Ovis aries: one gene and its partners. The protein of the gene in region 3 purifies or fractionates together with the protein of the main gene of each other region. This does not show direct contact. Links are inferred from orthologs where the notes say so. Each region holds a gene or a part of one and is shown on either strand. Other genes may lie near its edges.

What was found.
Region 1: the proteins of IGF2BP3 (region 3) and HNRNPA2B1 purify together in Homo sapiens (affinity purification with mass spectrometry; 4 studies listed by BioGRID and IntAct, with this or other methods). This does not show direct contact. The link is inferred for Ovis aries from reciprocal best matches to the Homo sapiens genes IGF2BP3 and HNRNPA2B1.
Region 2: the proteins of IGF2BP3 (region 3) and DDX5 fractionate together in Homo sapiens (co-fractionation; 3 studies listed by BioGRID, with this or other methods). This does not show direct contact. The link is inferred for Ovis aries from reciprocal best matches to the Homo sapiens genes IGF2BP3 and DDX5.
Region 4: the proteins of IGF2BP3 (region 3) and TRIM25 purify together in Homo sapiens (affinity purification with western blotting; 3 studies listed by BioGRID, with this or other methods). This does not show direct contact. The link is inferred for Ovis aries from reciprocal best matches to the Homo sapiens genes IGF2BP3 and TRIM25.
Region 5: the proteins of IGF2BP3 (region 3) and G3BP2 purify together in Homo sapiens (affinity purification with mass spectrometry; 3 studies listed by BioGRID and IntAct, with this or other methods). This does not show direct contact. The link is inferred for Ovis aries from reciprocal best matches to the Homo sapiens genes IGF2BP3 and G3BP2.
Region 6: the proteins of IGF2BP3 (region 3) and ILF2 purify together in Homo sapiens (affinity purification with mass spectrometry; 3 studies listed by BioGRID and IntAct, counting the BioPlex papers as one, with this or other methods). This does not show direct contact. The link is inferred for Ovis aries from reciprocal best matches to the Homo sapiens genes IGF2BP3 and ILF2.
Region 7: the proteins of IGF2BP3 (region 3) and HNRNPU purify together in Homo sapiens (affinity purification with mass spectrometry; 3 studies listed by BioGRID and IntAct, with this or other methods). This does not show direct contact. The link is inferred for Ovis aries from reciprocal best matches to the Homo sapiens genes IGF2BP3 and HNRNPU.

The regions. Positions count from the first base shown.
Region 1 is NC_056057.1:71,303,418-71,307,591, forward strand, and holds the start of HNRNPA2B1 (heterogeneous nuclear ribonucleoproteins A2/B1), read left to right. Parts: upstream 1-1,374; 5' UTR 1,375-1,542; coding exon 1,543-1,548; intron 1,549-4,174. UniProt on the Homo sapiens protein: Heterogeneous nuclear ribonucleoprotein (hnRNP) that associates with nascent pre-mRNAs, packaging them into hnRNP particles.
Region 2 is NC_056064.1:48,405,207-48,409,132, forward strand, and holds the end of DDX5 (probable ATP-dependent RNA helicase DDX5), read right to left. Parts: coding exon 3,790-3,926; intron 3,468-3,789; coding exon 3,357-3,467; intron 3,102-3,356; coding exon 3,040-3,101; intron 2,948-3,039; coding exon 2,888-2,947; intron 1,631-2,887; coding exon 1,406-1,630; intron 1,208-1,405; coding exon 804-1,207; 3' UTR 501-803; downstream 1-500. UniProt on the Homo sapiens protein: Involved in the alternative regulation of pre-mRNA splicing; its RNA helicase activity is necessary for increasing tau exon 10 inclusion and occurs in a RBM4-dependent manner. Binds to the tau pre-mRNA in the stem-loop region downstream of exon 10.
Region 3 is NC_056057.1:32,872,107-32,875,606, forward strand, and holds part of IGF2BP3 (insulin-like growth factor 2 mRNA-binding protein 3), read right to left. Parts: intron 349-3,500; coding exon 67-348; intron 1-66. UniProt on the Homo sapiens protein: RNA-binding factor that may recruit target transcripts to cytoplasmic protein-RNA complexes (mRNPs). This transcript 'caging' into mRNPs allows mRNA transport and transient storage.
Region 4 is NC_056064.1:7,425,239-7,428,738, forward strand, and holds part of TRIM25 (E3 ubiquitin/ISG15 ligase TRIM25), read right to left. Parts: intron 1,036-3,500; coding exon 802-1,035; intron 1-801.
Region 5 is NC_056059.1:91,313,467-91,317,479, reverse strand, and holds the start of G3BP2 (ras GTPase-activating protein-binding protein 2), read left to right. Parts: upstream 1-1,213; 5' UTR 1,214-1,384; intron 1,385-1,483; 5' UTR 1,484-1,603; exon of another isoform or gene 1,604-4,013. Other genes in the region: USO1 (general vesicular transport factor p115), read right to left, coding at 780-845.
Region 6 is NC_056054.1:104,112,174-104,116,137, forward strand, and holds the start of ILF2 (interleukin enhancer-binding factor 2), read right to left. Parts: upstream 2,801-3,964; 5' UTR 2,750-2,800; coding exon 2,745-2,749; intron 2,053-2,744; coding exon 1,993-2,052; intron 1,786-1,992; coding exon 1,743-1,785; intron 1,175-1,742; coding exon 1,070-1,174; intron 697-1,069; coding exon 619-696; intron 311-618; coding exon 208-310; intron 1-207. UniProt on the Homo sapiens protein: Chromatin-interacting protein that forms a stable heterodimer with interleukin enhancer-binding factor 3/ILF3 and plays a role in several biological processes including transcription, innate immunity or cell growth.
Region 7 is NC_056065.1:31,694,709-31,698,208, reverse strand, and holds part of HNRNPU (heterogeneous nuclear ribonucleoprotein U), read right to left. Parts: coding exon 3,489-3,500; intron 3,398-3,488; coding exon 3,229-3,397; intron 2,978-3,228; coding exon 2,723-2,977; intron 2,463-2,722; coding exon 2,278-2,462; intron 1,949-2,277; coding exon 1,877-1,948; intron 1,407-1,876; coding exon 1,353-1,406; 3' UTR 1-1,352. UniProt on the Homo sapiens protein: DNA- and RNA-binding protein involved in several cellular processes such as nuclear chromatin organization, telomere-length regulation, transcription, mRNA alternative splicing and stability, Xist-mediated transcriptional silencing and mitotic cell progression.

The DNA of each region.
Region 1 (4,174 bases), about 38 Mb from region 3:
AAATGCGCTTTGTCTAGAAATAAGGCGGCTGGCGCCACAGCTTTCAACCTTGAGAAGAGTCTCATCCCCTAAACCAACTACAGACGCCGGCCCGAAGCCAGGCCCGCCACGGGGTCTCTGTTCGCTTCTCCTTTCCTTCCCGCCAGGTCCTGACTCAGGGTCCGGCGAGGAAGATAGGAAGCGGGGAAATGCGGGTCTCTGGGGCTTATGCGGTATCTTAAGCAACACCACCGAGTGAAAGCTAGAGAAAAAAAAAAAGACACCGACTTCACCGCCTCTGAGCTGCTCCGGGTCCCGGGTCTGCGACGTCTCCGGCCCTGCGCGCCTCAAGCTCCAGTCACATCCGAGAGGGAGGGGGGCTGGGGAGCAGCGCTGCGCGCGGGGCCGCCGCTGGGGGGAGGGGAAGGTGGCACCGCCCACGCCAGGCAGCCGCCAGGGGCGGGGTGGGCGCGCGCCCCGGGGGGTGGGGCCGCGCGCCGCGCAGTGCCCGCCGGGAGCCCGAGCCGGAGCCCGGGCCCGACGGAGGGGGGAAAGCAGGGGGCGGTGACAGCGGCTCTTAGAGTTCGCGGCGTGGCGTCTGGTGGTCGCCCGAAGGGAGGGCGAGGAGGGAGCTGAGGGCCGCGACCTAAGCCTACTCAGCGGAGGTGTTTCCTGCTTTGCTGCCGCCTTAGCGACTGGCGCCAAAACAGGACTCCGCCCACTTCCTCGCCCCTGGGGTTGGGTGCCTCCAAACGTTGGGGGTGGGTGGGAGGAATCGGGAACTAAGAACGAGCACCACTTTCGACTACCTGAAATGTGGACCCCAAAAACATTGGCCAGGGTTAGGGTGGTGGATCGTTAAGTGTAATTTGTTGACTAGAAGTCGCTTCGGGTGTTTCCGGAAGGGGTCAGTCGGTTCTCCGCGCAGAGAGGGGAGGATAGGAGAAGGTGGGGGAGGGAAAACACAGTGGAAGAGACTACAAAGATTTTTTTAAAACTGGGGACCGAGGAAAAGCCATCGAAGCGTAGCTGTAAGGACCACTTCCCGGGATGAGGGGGCTGGACTTTTGGGTTGAGGATTAAGCTCCTCCCAACAGCGTTAATTTCAAACTGCGCGACCGTTTCTCACCTGCCCTGCGGGGGCAGTCCCCAATTCCGAGAGACAGAAATACGCAGGACTCGAGCCTTCCGCAATTTACAGAGCCCTTTTACGCAACTGACGTCCAGCATCAGTGCTGGCCTTAAAGGGGGAGGGGCACGTACTTGGCGCTAGGAGGTCGTAGAGCGTTCCCGCCATTGGCGGCGGTTAGGACGTTTACGCAACGGCCTGACGTAGGGAAGACGCGTTAGTCGGGGGGAAGGTTCTAGAAAAGCGGCGGCAGCGGCTCTAGCGGCAGTAGCAGCAGCGCCGGGTCTGGAGTGGAGGTGCTCCAGCGGTGTTGTTTCTCGAGCAGCGGCAGTTCTCACTACAGCGCCAGGACGAGTCCGGTTCGTGTTCGTCCGCGGAGATCTCTCTCATCTCGCTCGGCTGCGGGAAATCGGGCTGAAGCGACTGAGTCCGCGATGGAGGTAACGGGTTTGAAATCAATGAGTTGTTGGAAAGGGCATGGCGAGGCCGTTGGCGCCTTACTGGAAGTCGGCCATCCGCCTCCGTGGGAGAGCGGCAGCGAAATTGGGCCACTTCATAAGCGGTTGGTCTCAGGATATTTTTGGAGAGGGGTCGTTAGCAGAGGCCTAATTGTACAGCACCTTCCCCACCCTCAGCCTCACGGCGCCATTTCCCTTTGCTGGGGGTGGGGGATGGGGAGCTTCCACATGGCGGACGCAGCCCCACTTTACTGAAAGTGGGGCGCGGAGGCAGGAATTCCTACTCCGTTTTTAAAGAAGGGTGGTTTGGGGGTCCTGGCGTCCCCGCGTTGGAGCGTTTCGGCGGGTTTTGGGTCCTAGCGAACCGGGCTGCGGAGCTTCCCCTCCCCCCTCCCGGGAACCGGATTTGGCGGCCGCCATTTTCATTTCTCTCCTTCCTCGCAGCGATTTCTTTTTAATTCTCTAGATTTGACTAGCTTGACTTTTTCAGTGAGGACTAGAAGTGGGTAACTATTCATTTCTTTTTTCGGACTGTTTTCGTGCTGTTTCGAGGTGGATTCCGAGTGTGTAGGGAGCTTGGAGCTTTAAAGTCCTGCGCACCTCATTAGAGGCTCGCTCCTTTCCCCTCGATGAAATGGCGCCATTGCGTTCAGGAGCCGCACCGAAGGGCGGGGGGAGGGGCGGCGTTCTCCTGGGCGGTTTCGCTCGGCTTAGGAGGTAAAACCCTCTAGGGTGTTGGGCCCGGTTTCACGCGTGCCACGGTATAAAGACCTCATATTTTGTTTTTCAGTCCTTGTTTGAGTAACAGTTTTACCTGCGTTTCCGGTGATTGAAAAGGCAGTTGAATCGTAGAAAACATAAAATGAAAATTTTAGAGAAGATTATCGATTTTGCGGGAGGCCGTGGGGAAGGTGGTCTTTGGGGGGGGCGGTGTTCGGTTCAGAATCCTTTATTTTCCTGACGGATTCTTTTTTAATCGTATAATTTATTTGTATTTTAAGTAGTATTTTTACCGGGGAATTTAGTCTTTACTGGGTAAGGTTACGGGTGTTTTTTTAGTGATAAACTTGAAATTATGAGTTTAGTTGTACTCTGATTAAAACATGGCTCGGTCCCTCAATGCGTGTTCTGCTGTATACAAAACTTTTATTAGGCTGAGCCACTGTGTTTTTGAACTTTGTCACTTGCTTTTCTCGTTTATGTTTGCAATCATGGTTGATGATTACATTGATAAGCATAAGGTCTCAAGCGAAGGGGGTCTGCCTGGGTATTTTCATTGACCCTAAGCACGCTTATAAAATAACTTTGTTTGTAATCGATAGTGGACAGCGGGTAAGTTTGGAAAATGAGGTAAGTAATGAGTTTTTGCCTTTTGTTAGTGATTTGTAATGTTGTAGATGTATTTTAGTCTCTTTATTGGGGTTTTAAAAGGCCAGTTAACTGACAAGTGTTTGGAATAAATAAAATATGCTTAAGTGAAGTGTACAAATACCAGTATGTCAAGTTACCGTTTTAATAGATTGTTCTTTTAAGTGTTTGATAAGCTAGTTTGAGAATTTGTCTTTTCAAAAATTTCAGAATCTTAAAAGTAACTGTACAGGCAAAGAAATCTCTGCATTATTACTGTTTTCTAACATGTTGGGAGAATATCATGCATGGAGAGAAACTTGATGGAACTATGGGTTGAGTGTTGTAGTTCTACTTAATTTACCTACGTGCACTTGGTGGCTAACTTTCGTTTCTGAATGTTATTTAACCTAGTCAACTGAAAACCAAATAAAATGATCCAAGCTTCCTTAACTGATAGCCCCAAATACAGAGCTATTAATGTAGCTTATATGCGTGCTGGTTTGTAAGGATTGAGATTTCAGCTCAGGCTCTCTTCTCACATGAAAGTTGTTTTATGCTGTGTAATTTGCCAAAAGACCACTGAGTTCTACATGGTGAAGTGTAAGTCGTAGTGATATTTTGTAACTAGAGAGGATAGTCACAGTGGTCATTTAAATATTTTTATGGTTTTTGAAAATTGAAGTTACAGTGTCTTTTACTGTATTTGTCTTTTGGTTCAGTAATAGTGGATTGGGCCATCAACAAAACCAGCTATGTTAAAATATGTGCTTTAGAGACCGTCAATCATAAAAGTCATTTTATACTTTCGTCAGAAAAGATAAATTTTGAGGCTATTTTGCCACATATATTGAACGTTTAAGATTTTCTCTGGAGAGTTGGTATATGAGGAAAGAAAGTCAATACTAAGTTTTTCAGAGTTTTGAAAATTGAGTTACATTATAATCACCACCAGAGGGAGCAATGAAGGGAAACTCATTTCTTAAATGCTAAATCCAGAAACAAATGGGAACTGGGTTATAAAGCGAAAGTTGTTATATTTTAAAAATTTGTATTTGAATATGTAAAAGTGAACTCTGTTCTAAGTTATAGGATCGAATGCAGATGTTGATAAGACTCTTAACTTTACAGTCACCAGGGACTAGATTTGCTCTTCTTTCTTCAGAAAGATTTTTTTTAAAACTAAGTGATGCTATATTTGTTTAAACTCATTTAATGTCAAGTAAGTTTATATCAAGCATAATGATTTTGAAACGTGTAG
Region 2 (3,926 bases), on a different chromosome or scaffold from region 3:
TGAATTCAATCTTAGCTTGTGGCCAACCATCTTGAAGGGTGTAGTCTTTCAGCCTCAGTAATTAATAGTACAGCCCGGAGCAAATATAATCTCTCGAAAAGTTATTTGAAGACTTTTCCCAAATTACAAATTTGCAAAAGGAACAAAGTCATCCATATTCTCACTAAGCAATCTAAGTTAAGGGTGGGGCTATACACTTGTTCCCTGTTTTAGTATCTCCTTTCACCATTTAAATGACTATTTAAATGACTCACCTGATTTGGGGAGGCACCAAAAGAAAGCCTTTATGTAATTTAGCTAGAACTGCTAATCAACCTAAATCAATTGAATTTTAGTCCTTGCAATAGGAATAGATCACTTTAAGGGCCTTCTGATCTCCCCACTTCCCAAAATGAAATTATAGAAAGGAGCAGTCAATTTTAGTTTTATGACTAAAAAAGACCATCTAAGCAGTTTTACATGACATTATATATGTAAAATAAAGTACCATTTCCACTTAATTCAGTCTTCAAATATTTTTTATTGGAAGGCCATGCATTGCCTTCATTTATTGTATTTCAAATCACTGTACATTTACTTTTGTGAAAACACTGCCTGCATTTTCTAGTACAAAAAAAACCTAAAAATTGTTTCAGGAATGTAGAGAAATATCCAACTTAAATAGCGAAAAAGTGCACCATAATTACTGCTGCACTGCAGTCATTTCTGCATTTCCCATGTTTCTTAAATAACTATCTTGTCTGATAACACACAATATAAAGAGCAATTATGAAAAACAGACATTTACATATACTTCTAAAGTCTTATTGAGAATATCCTGTTGGCATCGGATAACCAATCATAGGCGCAGCTGCAGTAGCAGGATATGCATATGCCTGTTGGTTCATACCATTGTGCATATTTGGAACGTTACTTCCATATTGCTGAGTGCTATCATAACCGTTCTGGTAAGTCCCTGTTGGATTACCAGTCCTAAAACTGGTCTGTATACCAGCAGACACGAAATTACTTCCAAAGCTCCCATTGGTGTAATTTGCAGCACTGTAAACACCATTCTGAGTTTTTGCCCCAAAATCTCTCTTAAGCAGACTAGAGTAACCGCGGTCATAATTTTCCCTGTCTCTAAATGTATTAAATCCACCCCTTTTGCCCGCAGAGTATCTGTCCCGCCGGTCATCCTTCATGCCTCCTCTACCCCTGGATCGACCTGTCAAGAAAAAAATTGCCAACTGGTTATTTCCATGGAACCAATCATTACTAACACAGAAAAGAATCTGGTAGCTCTATTTCAGAATATCTTCTCAACTCCTTTCTGCCCTCACCCACCAATGCCATTCAAATAGACTTGTTAACAATCATGTGACTCCACACCCACCAACATGTCTTTACCAAAGGTTGGTCTTACCTGAACCTCTGTCTTCGACCAACTGAAGCAACTTAGGATTAATTGCTTGATTAGCTTCCCGAAGCACAGAGATAAGGTCGCTCACTTGCTTTATGTTATTAGGTGTAAAGAAAGTGTATGCTGTGCCTGTTTTGGTACTGCGAGCAGTTCTTCCAATTCGATGAATATAATCCTCTGAGGAGTTAGGGTAGTCATAATTGATGACAAATTTCACATCTTCCACATCTGTAAGGTGTTGCAGTGTGGCAAAATAGCAATGTACAGGGTTTTGCACACCACAACAGCCAGACCAAAAATAAAAAGTTAGACAATTGTATTCCCAAGAAGGTATGGGCTGCAAAAAATACAGTTAAAATGGTTATCCATTCCCTGTAGGAATACCATTGAGGTTGAAAGTGGGGAAGAAAAAAAAACAAAGAAAAAGCACACGTCATCTGTATACCTTATTACCCACCCAATGATGGAGCGTGTCAAAAGGACGTGTGTATTTCCTAACATTCCCAAATTAGCAAGTCCCCTTACAGATCATCAAGTGACATCTGAATGCTTCTGCGCAGTAGGGCCACTTAAAAGTTCACAGCAACCTCCTTGTGTGCTCTCATTTTGAGGACCTTTCATCAAAAATGTACATGGTCCTTTGCGTTACACACTCATCAGAAGTTCAAAATTCTGGCCACACTGCTTGTCTTGCCAAGACCTTACAACCGCAGCTGCAAGAAAAACATACCTGTCCCCCAAAAGTTGTTTTTATGCACTGTGTCTCGTCTAGGCAAGCGCTTCCAAGAAGCCAGGATTCACTTGAGAATGTGTCTCTCTCTGGCAGGTCTCGACATGACGACTACTGTGTAGGTGAGGGAGGAACTTTCAAAGCACTGCTTTTTTTTCCCACTGACTATGTGTGAGAAGTTGCTCCTGCTCTAGATCTTATGTGCCAGTACTCACCAATTTGTAAAAGGCTTTTAGTACCTTTTAAAGCTGCTCTCTCCATTTCAAACTTGAACAAAAATTTCATTGAACATTGAAGTTTGGAAATATTTCTTCGACATTTCAGCAAACTCACTGAAACTCAAAGACCCACAGATCACAGTAAACAGTTTGAAACAATGCTGTACCATGGCAGTCATGCAAAGCATGGGACAGAAGAAATACCACGGCAGTGAACTGTGAGGATAACTTCCATTTTTTTCCCCCGGAGAGAACAGTTTACGGGGCAGAGGTGGTATGTTCTGCCTTTTGAAGATTACTGGCACACTTTCAGCTTTTCACCTCTCTAATCGACTGGAAGCAGCCAGCCGATCACTAGTCCTCCATCCCCCTCGAGTCCTCCGATTGTCATGCCTAGGCCTTGCCACAAAGACTGCACCTTTATATGAAAAAAACTTAGAAAAAATGCAGAGGTTAAAGAAAGCAATAAACTTTCTTTAAAAAAATTATATGGGTATCTTCTGGGAAACCAAGCCATGAATTCGAGTTTGTACTAACCTAGCCCTCTGGAGGCCACATCTGTAGCAATCAGAATAGGAGCCTTTCCATGTTTGAATTCTGCAAAGGAAGGCACATATATAGCCATCAATATGAATGGTATTCTAAGTCTTTGGGGGGTGGGGGTGGGACCCCACACTTAAAATACTTACCATTTAGAACCCAGTCACGTTCCTGTTGACTCTTGTCACCATGGATACCCATGGCAGGCCACCTAAATTAAAGAAAAGTTACATTAAGAGACTGGCATTTAAAACCTTGTAGATTTTAACCATGTGCTTTAACCTTTTTGGTCACAAACCCTTTTAACTCCATCTGAAATAAGGTATACAGTCTTTCCTATACATGTATACTACCCGATAATTTCCATCTTTGAAACTCAGAACTATCAACCCTGATTAAACTTTGCCCCTTCTCCTGAACTCAGCTCTAATCAATATCTGCTTTAGTGGAGGACAACCACACATACCCATCTCTCCTCATTTTTCTAGTCAGCTCATCACATCTTCTTTTGGTTTCAACAAAAACAATGGTTTTATTCTCCTTTTCACTCATGATCTCTTCCATTAGACGAATAAGCCTTGAAAGAAAAAATATTCTCAATTTTTTAAGAAGTTCATGGTTATGAACGAAACACCAACTTTTACTCACAGGGCTACAAGAGAACACCTGCTTAACCCTTTTAACCATTCTACCCTTTACCCTTAAACCACAAGACAATACTCTTTCTGTTAAGAATATAAAAAATAGTAATAGCCAATTACCTGAAGGAAGCAAAACAATTTTGAGCATGACAGATTTCAAATTAGCATTTAGATTCCACCCAACTGAAAGTCATTTTTAAGATAACTTGTGAAACAGTGACTCAACTTGTAAAGTTGTCTTCAGAGTTAGTCACTTACTTTTCATCCTTTTCTACGTCATGACACACATCCACAATCTGAAGAATGTTGTGATTTGCACTCAGTTCCAGTGCACCAATGTTTATATGAATATAGTCTTTCAGGAAATCTTCAGCAAGCTGTCTTACTTCTTTTGG
Region 3 (3,500 bases):
ATGAAGTAGCAAGCAACATACTCTTATGAAGATTCAAACACCCATCGCACCCCAGGAAATACTCACTTCGACTGGGTCTGTTTGGTGATATTCCGAATGGTGGCACCTTCTTTTCCTATAATGGCTCCAACGAACTGGGTGGGAACCAGCAGGCGCAGAGGCAAGTCGCACGGCTTCTGCTTGGACACTGACCCTGGAGACCCCTGCCTTGAGGAGCCCCTCTGCCCAAACCCACGCCGGCCTCGGGGCTGCTGGGAGGGGCTCTGCTGGGCCGCCATCTCGTCGGGGATGTAGGCCACTCTCAGCGTGAAGGTCTCCAGCTGGAACCCATTCAGCTTGTCTAAAGCTCTGAAAGTCAACAAGGAGCAGGGGGTGGGAAGAGGAACCAGGCTGAGTAACAGCAATACCACCTCTTCCACTCAGGATCCCTAGCTCTAAAGCTCGTGAATAAAGCCACTGAACAGATAGCAAATCCAGAACACACCTAACACTCCCCACCCACATTCCCTTTGAAGGACACATGGGGAAAACAGACAGGTTTCCAAGGGAACATATGAGCCATTTACCAGTAAAGTGAAAACACATTTTGTCAAACTCTAAATGGGGACTTCCCTGGCGGTCTAGTGGTTAGAACTTGGTGCTCTCACTGCTGAGGTCTGGGTACAATCGGTAGGCAGGTAAGTAAGATCCCAGAAGACACACAGTGTGGCCAGAAAAACCCAAGCAAACAAAATACAACGTTTACTAAGCTATTCACCATGAAGTCAGTAACAGCCTGTGAGGACCCCCACAGAACAGGAGGAGGGGGCTCTCCTCTGGCTAGTCTTTCCAAATCAGAATAGAAAAGATGTTACAATACACACCTCCCTTGCTTTAATGTCTTAAGAACAAATATTTAAAACACTTTCAGAATCAAAGGACAAAAATCTCTGAGCCACTCACTGGAGGAAGTAGAACTTAACACTCATGTTTCTTACCACTATAAAATCACTCAATACCTATTATGAGCCTGTTCTTGAGGGAAAAAAGCAATCCATGACCTTGTGGAATTTATGATCTGATTTGAGGCAGGGAGACAGGGGTGGTGGTGAACCAAAGGAAACGACGGAAACTGTCTTCTCCCTACCGATCCATCCATCCACGCACCCATTCATCTATTTCGAGAGGAGCTTTACTTTTACTTTTTTTTTTTTCCTCCCATTTTAGAGGCTTGTTATGGAAAACTACGGAAATTAAAAGATGCTTGCTTGCTCCTTGGAAGAAAAGCTATGACCAACCTAAATAGCGTATTGACAAGTAGAGACATTACTCTGCCAACAAAGGTGCATCCAGTCAAAACTATGGTTTTTCCAGTGGTCATGTATGGATGTGAGAGTTAGACTATAAAGAAGGCTGAGGGCCGAAGAATTGATGCTTTTGAATTGTGGTGTTGGAGAAGACGCTTGAGAGTTCCTTGGACTGCAAGGAGATCAAACAAACCAGTCAATCCTAAAGGAAATCAATGCTGAGTATTCATTGGAAGGACTGATGCTGAAGCTGAAACTCTAATACTTTGGGCACCTAATGTGAAGAACTGACTCATTTGAAAAGATCTTGATGATGGGAAAGATTGGGGGCAGGAAGAGAAGGGGACAACAGAGGATGAGATGGTTGGATGGCATCACCAACTCGATGGGCATTCAGGAGCTGGTGATGGACAGGGAGGCTTGGTGTGCTGTAGTCCATGGGGTTGCAAAGAGTTGGACACAACTGAACGAGTGAACTGAACTATGGAAAAGTACCTAATCTTAAGCAAACATCTCAATGAATTTTCACACAGTGAGCATGCATCTCCAGATTCAGAGCTAGGACACCCCAGTGTCCCAGAAGCCCCGCCAGGACCTCCTTCCAATGACTGTCCCTTCTCTAGGCTCCTCACACCAGAAGGATTCTGCCTGTTTACATTTCTATGTAAATACCCATGTCTGGCATCAACTTATTATTTATGAGATAAGTGTGTAAGATTCCTAAGTTTATAAGATACATTGGTGTGTTCTAGCTTATCTACATATTTTAAATGTGAAGAACTCATTAAAAGTTGGCAGAAGATACTGCCATATAGACATCACCCTAATAATACACACTCCCAGTGCACAACAGAATTTAAAAAAAAAAAAAAAAAAAGGCCTCACGCTTTCTCCAGGGTTACTCAGAATCTTTGCTCAGGTGGTATTCCAGTGGGCCCTGAGTTCGACCCAGGCAAGGAGAGAAAAACAGGCATAAAATGCTCTGTCTGGTTGCTCAGAGTGATCATTTGTGGTTCACATACTGCTTTATCTGGAGATTTTTCCATTTCAAAGAGAAAGAGAATAGACCCAGCACCAAAAAGGCTAACAAAACCATGAAACTGCATGGCAGATGTAGAAAGCCAGACAAGACACACCAATGTTCTCAGGACTCAGAATTCTGCCCTTTTCGCACATCAGTGGCCTGTTCCATCACTGTCCTACAGGTCTATGCACACGAATTAACTCTTTAAAAGGTCCCAGTCATACAGACTAACAAAGTATCAAGAAATTTCTATCACTATTACCTCCAAGACCCTTCCTAGAGTAACTATTAACTGTGATAACTTCTGCAAATGGACCAGTTCTTTCCATCTGTTCACACAGGTGTTTAAGTGTTCAGTGCCTTCTTAAAGTGTAGCTGAGATCATGATATACATGGTCTTGTGATTTGTTGTTTTTCCAAATACAATATATTTTGGGATATTTCCATGCGAGTTCTGTATCAGACGACATTCTTTTCCCGTGTGTGTGTGTGTGTGTAACTGAATCACTTTGCTGTACAGCAGAAATTAACAAGACATTGTAAATCAACTATACTTCAATTTTTTTAAAAAAAGTAGCTACAGATGGCATTCTTTTCATAAACTTCATAGGTGATAGCAGACACACAGAAAAACTTGTTTTACCAATGCCCTGATACAAGAACCTTCAGTTAACACATTTTTCCTACCTTCTTCCCTCTCCTTCTTTCCTAAAGAATATGTGCATTAAGGGCCCGTAAGTATTTTGGCTATTTCTAAAGGAAGACAACAGCTAGAAATTTTATTAACATCAATGATGTACATTTACTACAGAAAGTTTGGAATTACAGATGTTTCAACAAATTAGATAAAGCTTTTCAAAGCCCAGGAGAAACCTATCCCTGAAGCTTCTTTCGAAGACAAGAGGAGAGCCCAACGCAATGAAGGGCTCAACTCGACCTGGTACATAAAAGGACAGTTCACAGTAACATCCTTCCCCACTCTACAACTGAGCACTTCAGAAGAGAGTAAGTGACTGTGCAATTAAGTCAGTAATGTTACTTTAAAAAAAGAAGTTGGGGGCTGGGGAGCCCTTCCCTGGTGGCTCAGAAAGTAAAGAATCAGCCTGCAATGCAGGAGATGTGGGTTCCATCCCTGGGTCATTAAGATCCCCTGGAGAAGGAAATGGCAACCCTCTCCAGTATTCTTGCCT
Region 4 (3,500 bases), on a different chromosome or scaffold from region 3:
GTGGTTTTCTGGGAGTATGAAGCCCTCCGAATGAAGAGTTTAAGCTGTACACAGAGATGGAGTTCAATCAGGATCAGATATCAACAATGACCTTGCTTATTCCAAGTGATTTGACCAGACACCGGCTGAAGAGAGCTTAAGTTGAAAAGGAATCAGTAACATTGTCACCGGAGAAGGCAATGGCACCCACTCCAGTACTCTTGCCTGGAGAATCCCAGGGACGGGGGAGCCTGGTGGGCTGCTGTCTATGGGGTCGCACAGAGTCGGACACGACTGAAGCGACTCAGCAGCAGCAGCAGCAGCAACGTTATCACTAAGATTCTGATAGATGTGAATAACAGGAAGAAGAACGCTGGGGCAATCCAGAAGAATAAAAAGTGGGAAAGAGGCTGAATGGATACACACTGCTGACTGTTTTGACTGAATCTCATCCCAGCTATGAATTCAAATAGTAGATCTATCATTTCAGAGAAACAAATCTCTTTTAATACAGAAAAATTACACAGTGAAAAAAAAAAAAAAAAAAGCATGTCAGCTTAGAAGACAACCCTGAGCTCCAAAAGGAACATACAGCCTGGTGAGACCACAGCCTAAGCCACACAGAGTGTGAGGTAACGGACAGCTTTTCTTCTAAGCCACGTAGTTTGCGGTAAGTGGTCACAAAACGTAGAAAACTAATACAGCCTGCGTGTCTCAGGGATGCTTCCAAAACCCCTTACCGCCCCAACCCCTTGAGAGTCCCGCTCCACACTCTAATGCGAGGCAGAAAGAGGATTCAGCAACACGCTCATCATGACTCACCTCCAGAAACTCAAACTCGTCCCCCTTAGTCAGGGCGAGCTCAACCTCCTCCTTTAGGGTCTGGATCTCGCTCCTCTTCTTGAGGATGATCTGGTAAATGCTGTCGAACTTGCTGGTGACCCTCTTCTCCTCTTCCTTTATCTTCCTTGTGGCGCTGGCCTCGGAGGCATCGATGAGAGCCTTCATCTCCAGGTATTCCTGTCTCAGCTGGTCCATCTTCCTATGTGCAGCCTCCTGAGAGGCCAGGACAAGAGGGCACCCGTTAGACGGGCCGAAGGGCTGGGCCCGACACGCGGAGCACCGCAAGCTCTCACCTGGGCTTCACGGAAACTCAGACGGGTGCAACCACTTTGGAGAGCAATCTGGCAAGATCAGTGAATTTCAAGGTGTTCATACCTTATGACCTAAATCCCAGAGGAAATCAACCCTGAATATTCATTGGAAGGGCTGTTGCTGAAGCTCAAATACTCTGGCCTCCTGATGTGAAGAGCTGACTCACTTGAAAAGAACCTCATGCTGGAGAAGATTGAGGGCAGGAGGAAAAGGGGATGACAGAGGCTTGGACGGCATCATCAACTCAGCGGACGTGAGTTTAAGCAGACTCTGGGAGATAGTGAAGGACAGGGAGACCTGGCGTGCTGCAGTCCATGGAGCTGCAAAGAGCTGGACATGACTGAGCAACTGAACACCACCATCACCACCACCACCTTCGGACCCAGCAACTGAGTCCAAAGAATGTACTCTAGAAAAAGACTGCTCCAGAGACACCCAAGAATGCTCTAAGCAGCACTGTTTGAAGAGCAAAATCAAGGAAACAACCTGAATGTCAGTCACTAGAAGACTGACAATTATTCCCTGGGATGGAATATTAAACTATGATAAGGGAAAAACAACTTATAGAAGACACGCAGTGAGATGCACCGTACCCAAGACTTAGAAACAGAGAGAACGGCGCGTGCGTGCTCAGCCACTTCAGTCGTGGCCAACTCTCTGTGTCCCCATGGACTCTCCGTGGCTCCCGGAAGAGAGGACGAGGGATACAGAAAGGGGAAAGCAAAGCCAGGGCTATATTCTCCTTGGCAATGTTTTATTTCTTAAGCTAGAAAGCAGTTCATGAGTAACTTTTTTTTCAAGGGTATGAAGCTGCCCTAGACAATTCCCTCTAGAACCGCACTACACGCAGCTGCAGGCCCTTGAACTACGGCCAGTCCAAGCTAAGGTGTGAGACAGAGTGACCTAAGAAGAGTATGGAACATCTCATTAATACCTTACATTGACCAAAATAACACTTTGGATATACTGAGTTAAATAAAATACCTTAACAGACCTAGTCTCATGCACTATTCAGATTAAAGTTATATATAAGGTCCACTTTGTATTTCTACTGGACAGCACTGCTCTAGAAGCTGCAGTTTCCCTTTACAGGTTGGGTCACCTCATCAGCTCAGAATCAAACTTGACAAAGAGAAACACACACAAGAGGGCCAGGGAGATTGGAATTCAATTTTTTTTTTTTTGGCCACACCATGCGACATTCAGGATCTTAGTTTTCCCACCAGGGATTTGAACCCAAGCCTCCTCCAGCGGAAGCTCAGAGTCTTCATCACTGGGCCACCAGGAATTCCTGAGAATTCGATTCATTTCTTAAACCAGTACCTGACCCTGCCCCTTTCAATGTGACCATCAATGTCCCCGAACACTCATCCTCCTTCTCCCCCGTCAGTAAGAAAACACCCCTGGGTTCAGATGGGCACACGGCTGCCCAGCCACAGACTACATCTCCCAGCGTCCCCTGCAGCTGGTCAGGTGACTACGCTGCAGCCTACACAACGCAAACGCAAGTAACAAGCGCAACACTCTCCCCCCTTGTCACCCCTCCTCACAGGCTACAGCAAAGATCTAACGGTGACCCAGTGGCAGCTAGAGACGGGGGAAGGGCAGGAAGAAGACGAGGGCCTGGAGCCTGATGGGTCACAGGCCGCAGACCATCCCACAGCCCGCCTGGCTCGGGTCCAGCCCTGAGCCGTCGCAGAGAGGAACATACATAGCGATCTTACTGAAGCCTCTGATTCCGAGGGGTATCTCTGCTCCAAGAACTTAGCCTGCCCGCCAATCAATACAGGCATTCTCACGTGCAATCTTTCACTTAAGCCTCGAGCTCACCTTCGGAAAGAGGCTCTGGAAGAAGATGGAAAAACTAAGGCTCAGAGATTTGCCAACAGGACCACAGTATCACAGGCTAGGATTCTAATCTAGATCTCATCTAATCTAACCACAGCTGTGGCAGTGAAACCAGATGCTGCCCCTCCAGAAAAGATGCTTAAAAATCAAACCTCCTCTCAACGTAAAAGCACTGTAACCTTATAAAAATTACGAACCTGGAAGGGAAAAACCTCTATAATTCTACCACTCCAACACCTGCACTACTATTCCCTGACTATATTTCCTCCCAGTCTTTTTTCCTACACTTTCTGTAATGGGCTTAATGGGGGCTCCCCAAAAGCTACATCTGTGTTCCAGAACCTGGAAACGCGACTTTACTGAGAAAAGGAGTCTCTGCGGATGTAACCAAGGTAGAAACCTGGAGCCAAGATGATCCGGGCTTACCCAGGTGGTTCTAAATCCACTAGCAAGTGTCCTTATTAGCGACAAAGAGCAGACACAGAGGGAGGAGGCAATGTGAAGATGGGGGCAGGGAC
Region 5 (4,013 bases), on a different chromosome or scaffold from region 3:
ACCTAAAATCGAACCAACTTATCAAAAATTGTGTTGAGTAGCTAACAATTTTTTTAAAGTGACGCTGCAAATCCTGTTTACACGAGTTCAGACTTCTGAATGGGGAGAATGGAAGGGACGCGTGTTCCCAAAGCATTTTGAGCGCCAAAGATCCCCACAACGACCAAGCGAGTATTTCCCAAATAGTGGGCGAGGCTGAAAAACGGGGTCCGAACTAATGACACCTGAAAGAACGACCTGCCTCTAGTTGAATGGGCAGGGGCAGGTGGCTTTGTGACCCAAACTATCGTATTATTCTTAGCCACTTGCTCTGGTCAACTGCTGGGTTTAAACCTTCCTGCAGTTTTCCTCAAAGCCCCATTCCAGACTGCGAGGGAGGTGGACTTTAGGTTAATCACCGCCAGTGAAGACACTGGCGAAAAGGGAGGGACAGGCCCGCGGCCCCGAAGGGCGTGGGAGGCAGGTCAGGCCACTTCTGCCCAGGATGGATGCCTTTCCCGGAGGTACCACCGCGGACCACCACCAAGCGGCCTGTGGAGCTTCGGGGCGCGGCTGCTGTCAGCAGGGCCAAGCCGCCGCGCTGGGGGTTGTGCTGCGGGTGTGAGGGAATAACTTGCGGGTTTCAGGAGAGGAAAAGAGGCACGGGGGCAAAAGGGGAGGCGGCATGTAGACTCCCGGCCCACGGTGACGCGCAGGGGGGTGACCTCCGGGCCCCTATGTCCTCCGTCCCGGTTTCTGCCCGGACCCTTCCCAAGTCCCGGACCCGCCGCTCCTCTCACCGTCTCGGCTTCTGTGTGCTGGGGTCCGGCACTCTGACCCCCCATAACCCCGCGGAGGAAATTCATCTTGCCGCTCAGCCACGGGCTCTACCGGCCTTTTCGGGAAAGAAGAGATAACTTCCCCTGTCCTCCGCAGGGCCCGACCCCCAAGCCTGCACTTTGCACTCCCCGGCCGCCACCGCCACAGCCTACTCGGCGGCCGCTCCAGCCCCCTAAGCCCGGAAACAGCGTCCGCCACCAGTTGAGATGCGCATGCGCGGCGACGTGGCATTACGTGGCGGCTCGAAGGGCGAAGGCAAACGAGCAAAGTAGGCGAGAGGCGGCTGGTAGCCCAGGTCCTCCTAAGCCCCGCCCACTGCGAAGGCTCCGCCCTCCCCCGTAAGAACACGCCTCCCACTCCAGCCTTCGGCTGGTGCCTCCTGCTGGCCCCAACCACCCACGTGGTGCGAGCCCGGCCCTGCCGGCAGGAGACCTTACGGATTGTGTACGCATTTTGGCTTGCAAGGTGTTTAATTGTTGCCGGGCGGGACTTACTGCAAGCTGTCAAGTCTGGGGTTGTGTTTTGTTGAGTAGAAAGAGAAATTGTCCTTCGGCCGACGTGACAGGTAAGGGGTCCCGGCCTCTGGGAGGGTTCATTTGGTTTTGCGGTATAGCAGTACGAGCTTTGTGGCCTTCTCATCCCCACAAATTGCATTTCTTTACAGGGCTTTGTTTGGTGAAAAAAAGGGTACTTGAGCCCCCTCATTCCATTGCCACGGGAGGGCGCATTTCTCAGCTTTTGCTCTTCCAACCTGCTAAAAGGAATTCCTGGATCTAAACACCAGGTACACCGCTATTTTCTAGGGGTGTGAGGAGGAAACCAATCCAACCCTGCGTTTGGCTTACTAGATTAAATACATTGATCTGCAGTGTCATTTTGACAGCAGGGAACATAATGTTTTGTTATTAATGCTAAACTCTTAGATTTTCAGCGTGTGTCTGGGGGGTTAGCATGAAAAATATTCGTTTTTCAAATCGGTAAGCCTTGTTTCTTTTGAAATGAGAGTGCCAGATACACATGCTTATGGAGTAGTCTTGTCAATGCCTTGAACGTGAAAGCGCAGAGTCTAGTTATAACTGATTCATACACCACTCCCCTTGGATGCCCCACAGGTCTCAGACTCCCCAACCTTCCTTTAAAAAAAAAAAAATCAGTATGCTTCGTTCATGTGCCCTGCTGCACTCATCAGTATCACTAGCCAAATAATTGCCTAAGCTGGAAGGAGGAGGCTGGGAGGAATCTGAAACTCTGGAATTCACCCCCGCATGTCCAGTAGTCAAATCCTGTCATGCCTATTTATAGACTATTTTTCAAATAGGTCTCTGCTCTCCATGCTCTCTGCCTCTGACATGGTTTATGTTCCCATCATTCTTCACCAAGATTACGGGCAATAGCTTCCTAACTGGTTTGTCAGCATTTAAGCCTTGGGTTTCTTCCAGTCACCCAAGTCCACTCTTGGGTGAGCCTGACAATGACAAAACATCTGTCCATGTTAGTCCTCGTCTGAAAATCCTCCGGTTGTCGCCCATTCACCTCAAAATAAAATCCAAACTCCTTAGCTTGATGTATAGGCCTGTTATGTTCTGGCTCTTGCCTGTTTTTTCAGCTCCTGCCTCCCACACATACTCTGGATATAGGCCTGGATAAGTCCTTCCCCTCCCTCCACTTCATCAAGGAAACTCCTGCTAGTTCCTTAAAATTTAACTTTGGTATCTTCAGAAAGCTCTCCCTGAAATCTAGATAACATGTGTATATGCTATTCCTTTGCAGTTGTTAATATGTGGGAAGCTCTCAATAAATGCCTATTGAGCCAGACTGTTAATGGCAGAATGTGTTATTCATTTTTATATCTCTGTGGCTTAGCATTGTCACATAAAAGGTGATATTGATAGATACATGAAGAAAGCATTAAAGGGTATATGAATATAATGATGAGGAGGAAGGTCCTTTTTTTCATCTGTAGGGTGGGTTTGCAGATAACACATATCACAAAGGCTATGGTGCAGTTTCCTTTGCTAGTGCCAAGGTTTTAAGCTTCTGTGAGTTGGAGAACAGTGGGGATCATACTGCCAAAAATATTGTACACTAAGCATTGTCCTCTGTTTTAAAACTGGACACTTGACAGTTTGCTTTAGATATTTTCCACCAGGGCATTTCCTTGCAGCCTAAAAAAAGTAACCAATAAATGCTCAGCATTTTTATTACCAAGTAATATCTGCAAAGAACTTCATCTAGTCCTTAAGTGTCACCCCTCCCTGAGCCTCTCCTCACCTCTAGGGGTAAAGCTCTGAGATGGAGTGGGGCTCATGGATGTTTATTACATGTATTATTTGGTAATAAAAAGCAGCGCCTTCACATTTTAGCAGAATCATTTTAAGGCACCAACCTTTCCAAAATGCCCTGCTTTGTTTTAAATTTCCGTGAGTATAGCAGACGCTCAAGAACCATTTCTTAAATAAAGGAAAAGAAAACATGAAAAAATTATGACTGCCCGACTTATGCCGTTATACTTCTCACTTTTATAAATCTAAATATTCAATGGACGAATGCGAATCATTAAAATACATATAATTCATGGCTCAACTGGTAAAGAATCTGCCTGCAATGCAGGAGACCTGGGTTTGATCCCTGGATTGGAAAGATCCCCTGGAGAAGGGAAAGACTACCCACTCCAGTGCTCTGGCATGGAGAATTCCATGGACTGTATAGTCTGTGGTGTTGCAAAGAGTCAGACACGACTGAGTGACTTTCAGTTTTCAAAATGTTAACTTGGGTAAATAAAAGTGATTTTTCTGAGAACAGAACAACTAACAAAACTCATTGATTTGAAATTCATTTTTAGATTTGCTTGCTTCCAATCCCCTAGCTCAGTGGCTCTCTTCAGTGGCCCACTTTCCTCATCCTTTTTTATTTTCTATAGCAAACTCAACAATAACAATGAAATATCATTGCACAAGATTGGTTGAGGGTGGTGGTAATACAGTGGACTTTTGTCCATACCTGCTTTGGAGGATGAGTGGAGGTGATAATTTGTGTCTAAAATGTATCAGTCACATACAGGTTTTTAAAGACTAGTTACTGGAAAAGTCAGGGTTCAAAAATATTGTTGATAAAATTTTGCATTAAGTTTTATTCATTACCCAAACAACACACAGCAAAATAAATTGATAATGATGAAGCAGTAATTGACATTC
Region 6 (3,964 bases), on a different chromosome or scaffold from region 3:
GCAGGATGCTTAGCAGCAACCTTGGCCTCTACCAGAAGACGTTAGCCTCAAACATCTCCAGACATTGCTGAATGTCCCCTGGGGAGCAAAGTCCGTCCTGCAGTAACTGGTCATACATTCTTTCACATACAGCACACCATTTAAATCCCTATGCCTCAAATCCAACTGCTATGTTCTGCTGCTGTGGCCAAAGAGAGGCACACTTACATGTTGGCAAAATCTTTAGGATCACTACCAGGTCAGCCACGTTGTGTCCTGTAGTCATCGTTCCCTTTTTATATGATCCGACTTGTCGGACTTCTTCAATTTGCTGTTGGAAAAGGGATTTAAGAAAGAAAAAACAAAACTTACAAGTGAGAAGCTTATTACCCAGATTTGGAAGTAGCAGAGTTCAAATCATATTCCAAAATGAGCAATGAAAAGCCTGATTCATTACAGCTAGCTGATAGCAATGATGAATCTGGTCCCTAAGACCAGCACGACAAAGGAATTCTACTGTACTTTCCCATTCCAAGAGTGGCTTTAAATAAGCATCTGAAGAATCAAGCGACAGGAACCAAGGAAACTTTCACACTTCCATGACTTCCCTTTCCTAGGACTAGATCTTCAAAAACTCACCACTTCAAATGTCCCTGGAGCCACAATCAAATTGTCAATCACATTGTTTATTTTTGTCACCAGGGAAAGGATAGAGGCCTGAAAAATAGCAGGAAACAAAAATACCCTCAGGTGAAATACCAAGCAACTTTTCATCAAGTTTGACTATTTCCCCAATTCCTTCAATAGGAATCAACACCTATACCGGATTCTGAAAGCACCCAGACCCTCCCAGCCTTGAATATGCCAGAAGAGAAAACTTTGATCCCAACGACAGATTCCCCAATAATAATATGAACGCACATGTAATCTGTTTATACATTCACTTGATGCTCTCCCTTTACACACAATGAAAAATAAGAATGATTAAACCTGTGGAGTTCAGGCTCTGACAACAGTAATCTCACCAAGTAGCTATTTACTTCTCTAGCTTCCTTCATGAAATCTCAGGAAGAAAACCAACAGAATATACCTGTTCAGCAGAATTAGGAGCAAGGTCCTGATTCCTCTTCAGCAAGGCCTCACTGAAGGAAGTTTCATCAGGTGCTGGCTTGACCCGGGGAAAAGCCATTTCACACTAAACAAGAAATATACTATATACTACTTGCCAAAAATAATATGCAACAGATTTTTCTGTTGCCACAACACAAAAAAAGAGATAATTCTACAACACTTATACTCTTGTGACCCTAATATTAACAGACAAGGCAGTGATACAATTAACTGTTCAGAACAAAGATTATAATCATGTTACTGTCGATTGTAATGAAGGACCTATCTTCCCCACCCAGGTTATACTTTTTTGTATGTAAAGCAACACAGATGACTCAAAACTTCCCTTTTTCTACTCCAACTACCACATGACTTCATTAACAGGGAGACACCAGGTTCCAAGAAACAACAATTGAATAGTGGCCAAAGTTAAGTTAGTTAAGTCGCTCAGTCGTGTCTGACTCTTTGCGACCCCATGGACTGTAGCCCACCAGGCTCCTCCGTCCATGGGATTCTCCAGGCAAGAATACTGGAGTGGGTTGCCATTTCCTTCTCCAGGGGATCTTCCCCACCCAGGGATCGAACCTAGGTCTCCCGCATTAGAGGCAGACACTTTAACCTCTTAGCCACCAGGGAAGAGACACCGTACTCACCAAATAGAAGTCAAATGGAATATGTGGCACAAAGGGCCTGAACCTAAAAAGCGGAAAAACAATCCAGATTACTCACCACATAAATCAAACTGACTTCACATAATGGGGCCAAACTCATTTATCAAGAGAGCATGAGAAGAATACTTCTAAACTACAGCTGGATCTCAACAAGGCAGGTAAGATACTCCACTCCTATTTAGATGACTGAAAGGGAAACCAACGGGCACAGATGCTAAGGACTGGCACTCACCCTCCTCCTGGGCCTCCTCTGGAACCAAAGCGCCCGCCACGACCGCGGCCTCTGTCACCCCTAGAAATGCATTATTAACATATTTTAACTTTCTTTTCATCTCATTGAAGCAATCTCCTCGGTACCGGCCGTATGATTTCAGGTTAGCCTACCTCTATCGCTCTGCACTTCCCTTTGGAAGCCAAAGGATCCCATTCTCACTTACACTTCTACACCTTCCAAATGTCCAGCCTCACTCCCCATGACTGGATAACTGATTCACATCAAACCACATTAAAGAGAGCCCTACAAGAAACATCCCATAATCGCCGGGTCCCGCCAACCCTAATACTTCGCAGACTAATGTGACTGCTTATTCATTCGTTCATGTAGTAAAAGCATCTATCAGGCGTATCGTGTATGTCAAGCAACTGGCATTGAGGATGAATGAGACACGTTCCAGCCATCTCAGTCTAAATAGGAGGTGTGGGGGTGCTCCTCCTGGAACCTGAGGACACCCTCTCATCTGAACCCCCCAGAGAGCGAACAGTCGGAACCGCCTCTCGACTCCTGGGCCCCACCCCCCATCCCCGGCCAAGTTTCCCCGCCTCCACTGCCCCCGACCTCCCCTTCTCTTAGAGCCGGAGTTCTCAGGTTTCCGTGCAACCCCCAGGTACATGGCCCTTTCCAGTCCGCCGACTCCTTTCGGACCAACTTCCTAAAGTTTTCGGTCGAATACCTGAAACCTCTCCAGGGCACCCCACAACCCTTACCTCATGGCGTCCTAGATCCCGAACAATGGAGGCCACACCAACCGCCCCTTTCCTCTGGGGAGCCGACAACTGGAGAGGCAGCTTGCCGGCGTGTCCCAACAAACTCCAGCGCGATTGGCTCCCGCCGTACTCCGCTGCTTGTGCCTATTGGTTTGCTTTGGCAAACCGGTTTATTGAGCCAATGAAAAGGGCCTGCTCTGTCAGTAACTAGCCAATAAGAACAGGTTAGACGTTAACGCCCTTTTGCAGACACTAGAGAGCGCTGTGTAAAGAAATTAGTGTGGCTGGCATCTAGAGACCTTTCTATGATTCTTGGGGGGTGAAAACGGCAACAGCAGAGTGGCGCAGCGGAAGCGTGCTGGGCCCATAACCCAGAGGTCGATGGATCGAAACCATCCTCTGCTAGCGGTGCTTTTTTAATTTTTTTCTCCTGGGACAGTTTTTCTGTTTTAAATTTCTTCAGTAAATGTAACTACCGTAATCCTACTTTTCTCTCCCTCAAAATATGCAGCCTTTAAAAGCTGTTTTTGCCATCAGCGAGTGAAATGGAAAAGGCAACCGAAATCATGTAGGAAGGGATTTTGGGTGACTGTGAACACTACATGTCTGGATGTGGTTCACAGAGGCTGAAGCAGAAGAAACGGATATGAGTATGTATGTTGATTGACTCAGGGAAAGTACTGATGGTGAGGGACTAGAAGGGAAACTGAGACAGCCTTTGGAAAGAGAGCTCAGAAAAGGAGGGCAAGGGAAGCGACAGGAGAGAAGGACCAGACCGCTGCCATTTTTTGTCGTTTCCTCTCCTTTCCTCATTCTACAACCTCTCTGGCGGATTCCACCTTTATGCAAAGTTTCACAGCCAAGTATATGGATATACTGTGGTTGCATTTACATCAATTCATATTCAGTTCAGTTCAGTTCAGTCGCTCAGTCGTGTCCAACCCTTTGTGACCCCATGAATCGCAGCACAGGCCTCCCTGTCTATCACCATCTCCCGGAGTTCACTCAGACTCACGTCCATCGAATCGGTGATACCATCCAGCCATCTCATCCTCTGTCGTCCCCTTCTCCTCCTGCCCCCAATCCCTCCCAGCATCAGAGTCTTTCCCAATGAGTCAACTCTTCGCATGAGGTGGCCAAAGTACTGGAGTTTCAGCTTTAGCATCATTCCTTCCAAAAGAACACCCAGGGCTGATCTCCTTTAGAATGGACTGGTTGGA
Region 7 (3,500 bases), on a different chromosome or scaffold from region 3:
TTGAGGACAGCCATTAGCATTTTGTAAAGATGGTAAACTGAGTGTTAACTTCTCCCAGCCAGTACCTTTTCCCCTCATTAAATGTTTAAAGTCATCAGGGGGGAGGGGAAGGGAAGAGTTCAACTTCATAATTTTAAGTCAATTGTCAATATACATTTAAGTTTTTAAAACCTAAATGTTCTAAGTGCACAGTAAAGAATAAGCTGTCCAGAAAGCACACACTTAAATTTTCTCCTCTTGGGAGTTTCATAAAGGGATTTTGAACCTTGATGGCGAGAATCCCAAAACAAGAGTAAAATGAATTCTTTTTATTGCAAACAAACGTCTAAATTAATTTCTCCACCCACTTTCTTTAGAAAGAAAAAGAAATCAGCAGGCTAAGGAGATACCCATTCAAGAACTGACATGATTAAAAATTAAGATATAAATGGGTGACTCACAATTTCATTAGCTTACAAAGATGGTGGAGTTAACTACTACAAGCACACTAGTTATACAGTATTTTGTGGGAGAAGGGCATACAGACATAGCTAACTTCATATAGATCCCATTAGACAACTGGATTTACAACAAGTTTTTTTAATAAGAAATGGGCAAAGCCAGCTTTCTTTTCAGAATCAAAATGCAGAACAAATGGAAAAATTATGGTACTTAAACCTTCACAAGTTTGAGCCTCCACAAATAATGCAACCAAGTTTTACATTTTTTAACAGCCCTTCTACATACACTCCATCTTCTCTATCTTCGTTCCAAATTTTATCTTCATTCCCAAATATGCCAATTCCATCGTTACTTAAAAAGAAAGAGCCTTCCCAGTTACCGTCAAAAACTACTATTTAGCTTACCCCTCCACTACTCAGCAAACTACAGAGAGGATGGAGTGTAATATGAGCAGTACAGAGTCTTATGCAATTCATGAGGACCACTAAGTCCTTACATGAATCTGGTTGCTAACATTTCTATTATATTGTGACAATGACTCCCGACTGTTATCTCTGTGAGAAATGGGGGGGAGTAAATTCTTAATAAAAGACACCAGGTACAAAGCAACATTTTACTTTTGTTGTGATAAAAAAAAAGTCACATTTTACAGATAAAATGTAGAACCCTGAAATACTGACACATTCTCTTATCGTGCACAATGCTGAGGTTCTCTTACGATTCACTTTAAAACTGCAATTAAAAATGTACAAAAAAGAAAAGAAAAAAAATCAACCCACAAAGCTTCTAAAAAAGGAACCCGCAGGCACTTCCTCTTGTGGAATGTTTAAAAAGTTAGCCTACTAAAGAAAACAGTCGACTTCTTGTGAAGGTTTTGGAGAAATATGTATCAGTTCGTTTTATTTGGGTATTCAATAATATCCTTGGTGATAATGCTGACTCCATGGCTTCTGACCCCAGAATTGCTGTAAGAGAAAATTTTTTTTTTAAAGAAAAAACATCAATAAGCCACTCAAATTGCTTTTAGGAAATGACAATCTAATTCAGAGTAATTGCTGGAAACAAATTTATACCTGTCATTCCTCTGATTTATCAAGCCAGATTTAGTTAGTATTAACATCCCATTATCAATACACATTACAAAAGGAAACACATTACGACTTCGGTTAGTTTATACAATTAAAGCTATCAGTAAAAAAAAAAAACGTATGAATTAAATATTACTTTATTAAAAAATATTAAGTTACAGCAAACTCCAACCTATCTCGCCTTCAAAAGATAGTATACAGCTACAACTGCAATACAGCTCACAGCTTGCCCTGTAATACTTATTTATAAACACTTCGATCCCTAGACAAGATCTTTTTTTAAGATTGATTCTTATGAATTCAAAATACAATTAAATGTACATAAAAGCACATAAGGAATTACTTACACCCTGCTGCCACTGGTTGTAGCCCTGAGATTGATTTTTGTAGCCACGATTGTTTCCTCGTCCTCTGAAGTTCTACAAAAAAGAAAAAAAATCTTTAAAGAACTCAGAACACAAGTTGCTAGGTTTATCTAAGGGGCAGAGGGAAAAGAGGGGACACAGCTGCAGAAATGGATGGATGGGCGGTCAACCATGAACCTCTGAGCACTCTGCTGGGTTTCCTTTCAGGTGATTAACTTATTCACTAAGAGACATCACACCTGACTTGCTCCTACTAGCAGTTAACGCACCTAAAAATAATTATGCATATACACTGTATTCTTAACTGAGGCTGCCCATCATATTTAACCTTTTACACTAAATTATATAGAGAATCAGCGTCTGCAGAGATCTTAAATGGTTACCTGGTTGTAGTTCCCTCTGTTAGGCATTCCCCCTCTGTTGTAGTTCCCTCTGTTTGAGTAGCCGCCGCGGCTGGGAAAGACAGGGCCGCGAGGGTACGGATAGCCAATGCCACCGCTGCCACCACCGCCACCTCCTCTCTGTGGCATACTGCCCCTCCTGTTGTATCCACCACGATTCCCAGGAGCTAGAAAACAAGAAACATCTCATTTAGTAGTGTGTTGCTGCCTTCTTTACATGAGACTTAGGGTTCTTTTGGACCATTCCTTCATTTCAGGAGAAAAATGTTTAACCATTCAACATAACCTAGACATGCTTACTAAGACAGCTCAGATAATGCACATCAAAAGCTTCCTATGTTAAATTCAGCTAAGTAACATATAGACCCAAACTGGAAGTGTACCATTTGTTTCAACCTTGGACCAAATAATACTCAACATAACTTGCCTCCTCCTCTGAAATTTCCACCGCGCATATTGAATCCGCCACGTCCTCTATGGCCACCGCCTCTGTTAAACTGGTTCTTGCCGCTCTTATTTTTATTGCTCTTCTTTGAGCCTGTGTTCTGTTTCTTTTCCGGTGGAAGAGCCTTTTTGCTTTCTTCTTTATATTGCTCCAAAAGTTTCTGGGCTTCTTCCTTCTGAAGTTCAACATAGGTTATTTCATCAAAGCACTCAGCTACTTCTGGCAGAGTAAAGTTTCCTGCAAAACATAAAATCATATTAACCTACAAACCCACTACATACACATTCACAACCCTAAAGCCCAATACTCTCAATCAGCTGTTAATTCTTACAAAACACACAACACCTAGTCATATTGTAATTACATTTTCTTACAAACACAAGTTAAATATATGTTCATTTACAGTTAATTTAACTCTTGAAAGTTATTACTGACATTAAGCTAACAGATACAAATCACAGGATATTTAAGGTAATAGAACTTCATGCCTTTCATTTTGAGGACTGCATGTTCTGGTAGGTCTTTTCCCTCTACTTCTGCTTTCTTCTGTGTTCTTTGCTTATAGTCTTCATCTTTTGGGCAAACTACAACAGCTTTTCGTTGGAAGCCTGCAAAGAGGCACATTTTTCTCCTCTGGGCAGCAGCAGACACATTTGTCTTTCAGAAAAAGAGAAAAAAAAAAAAGTTTTTAACCTCAAACATTAATTCTACAATTATCAGTTTTTTCAACTTCAAAGTTACAGCTTACCTGATCCAAAAT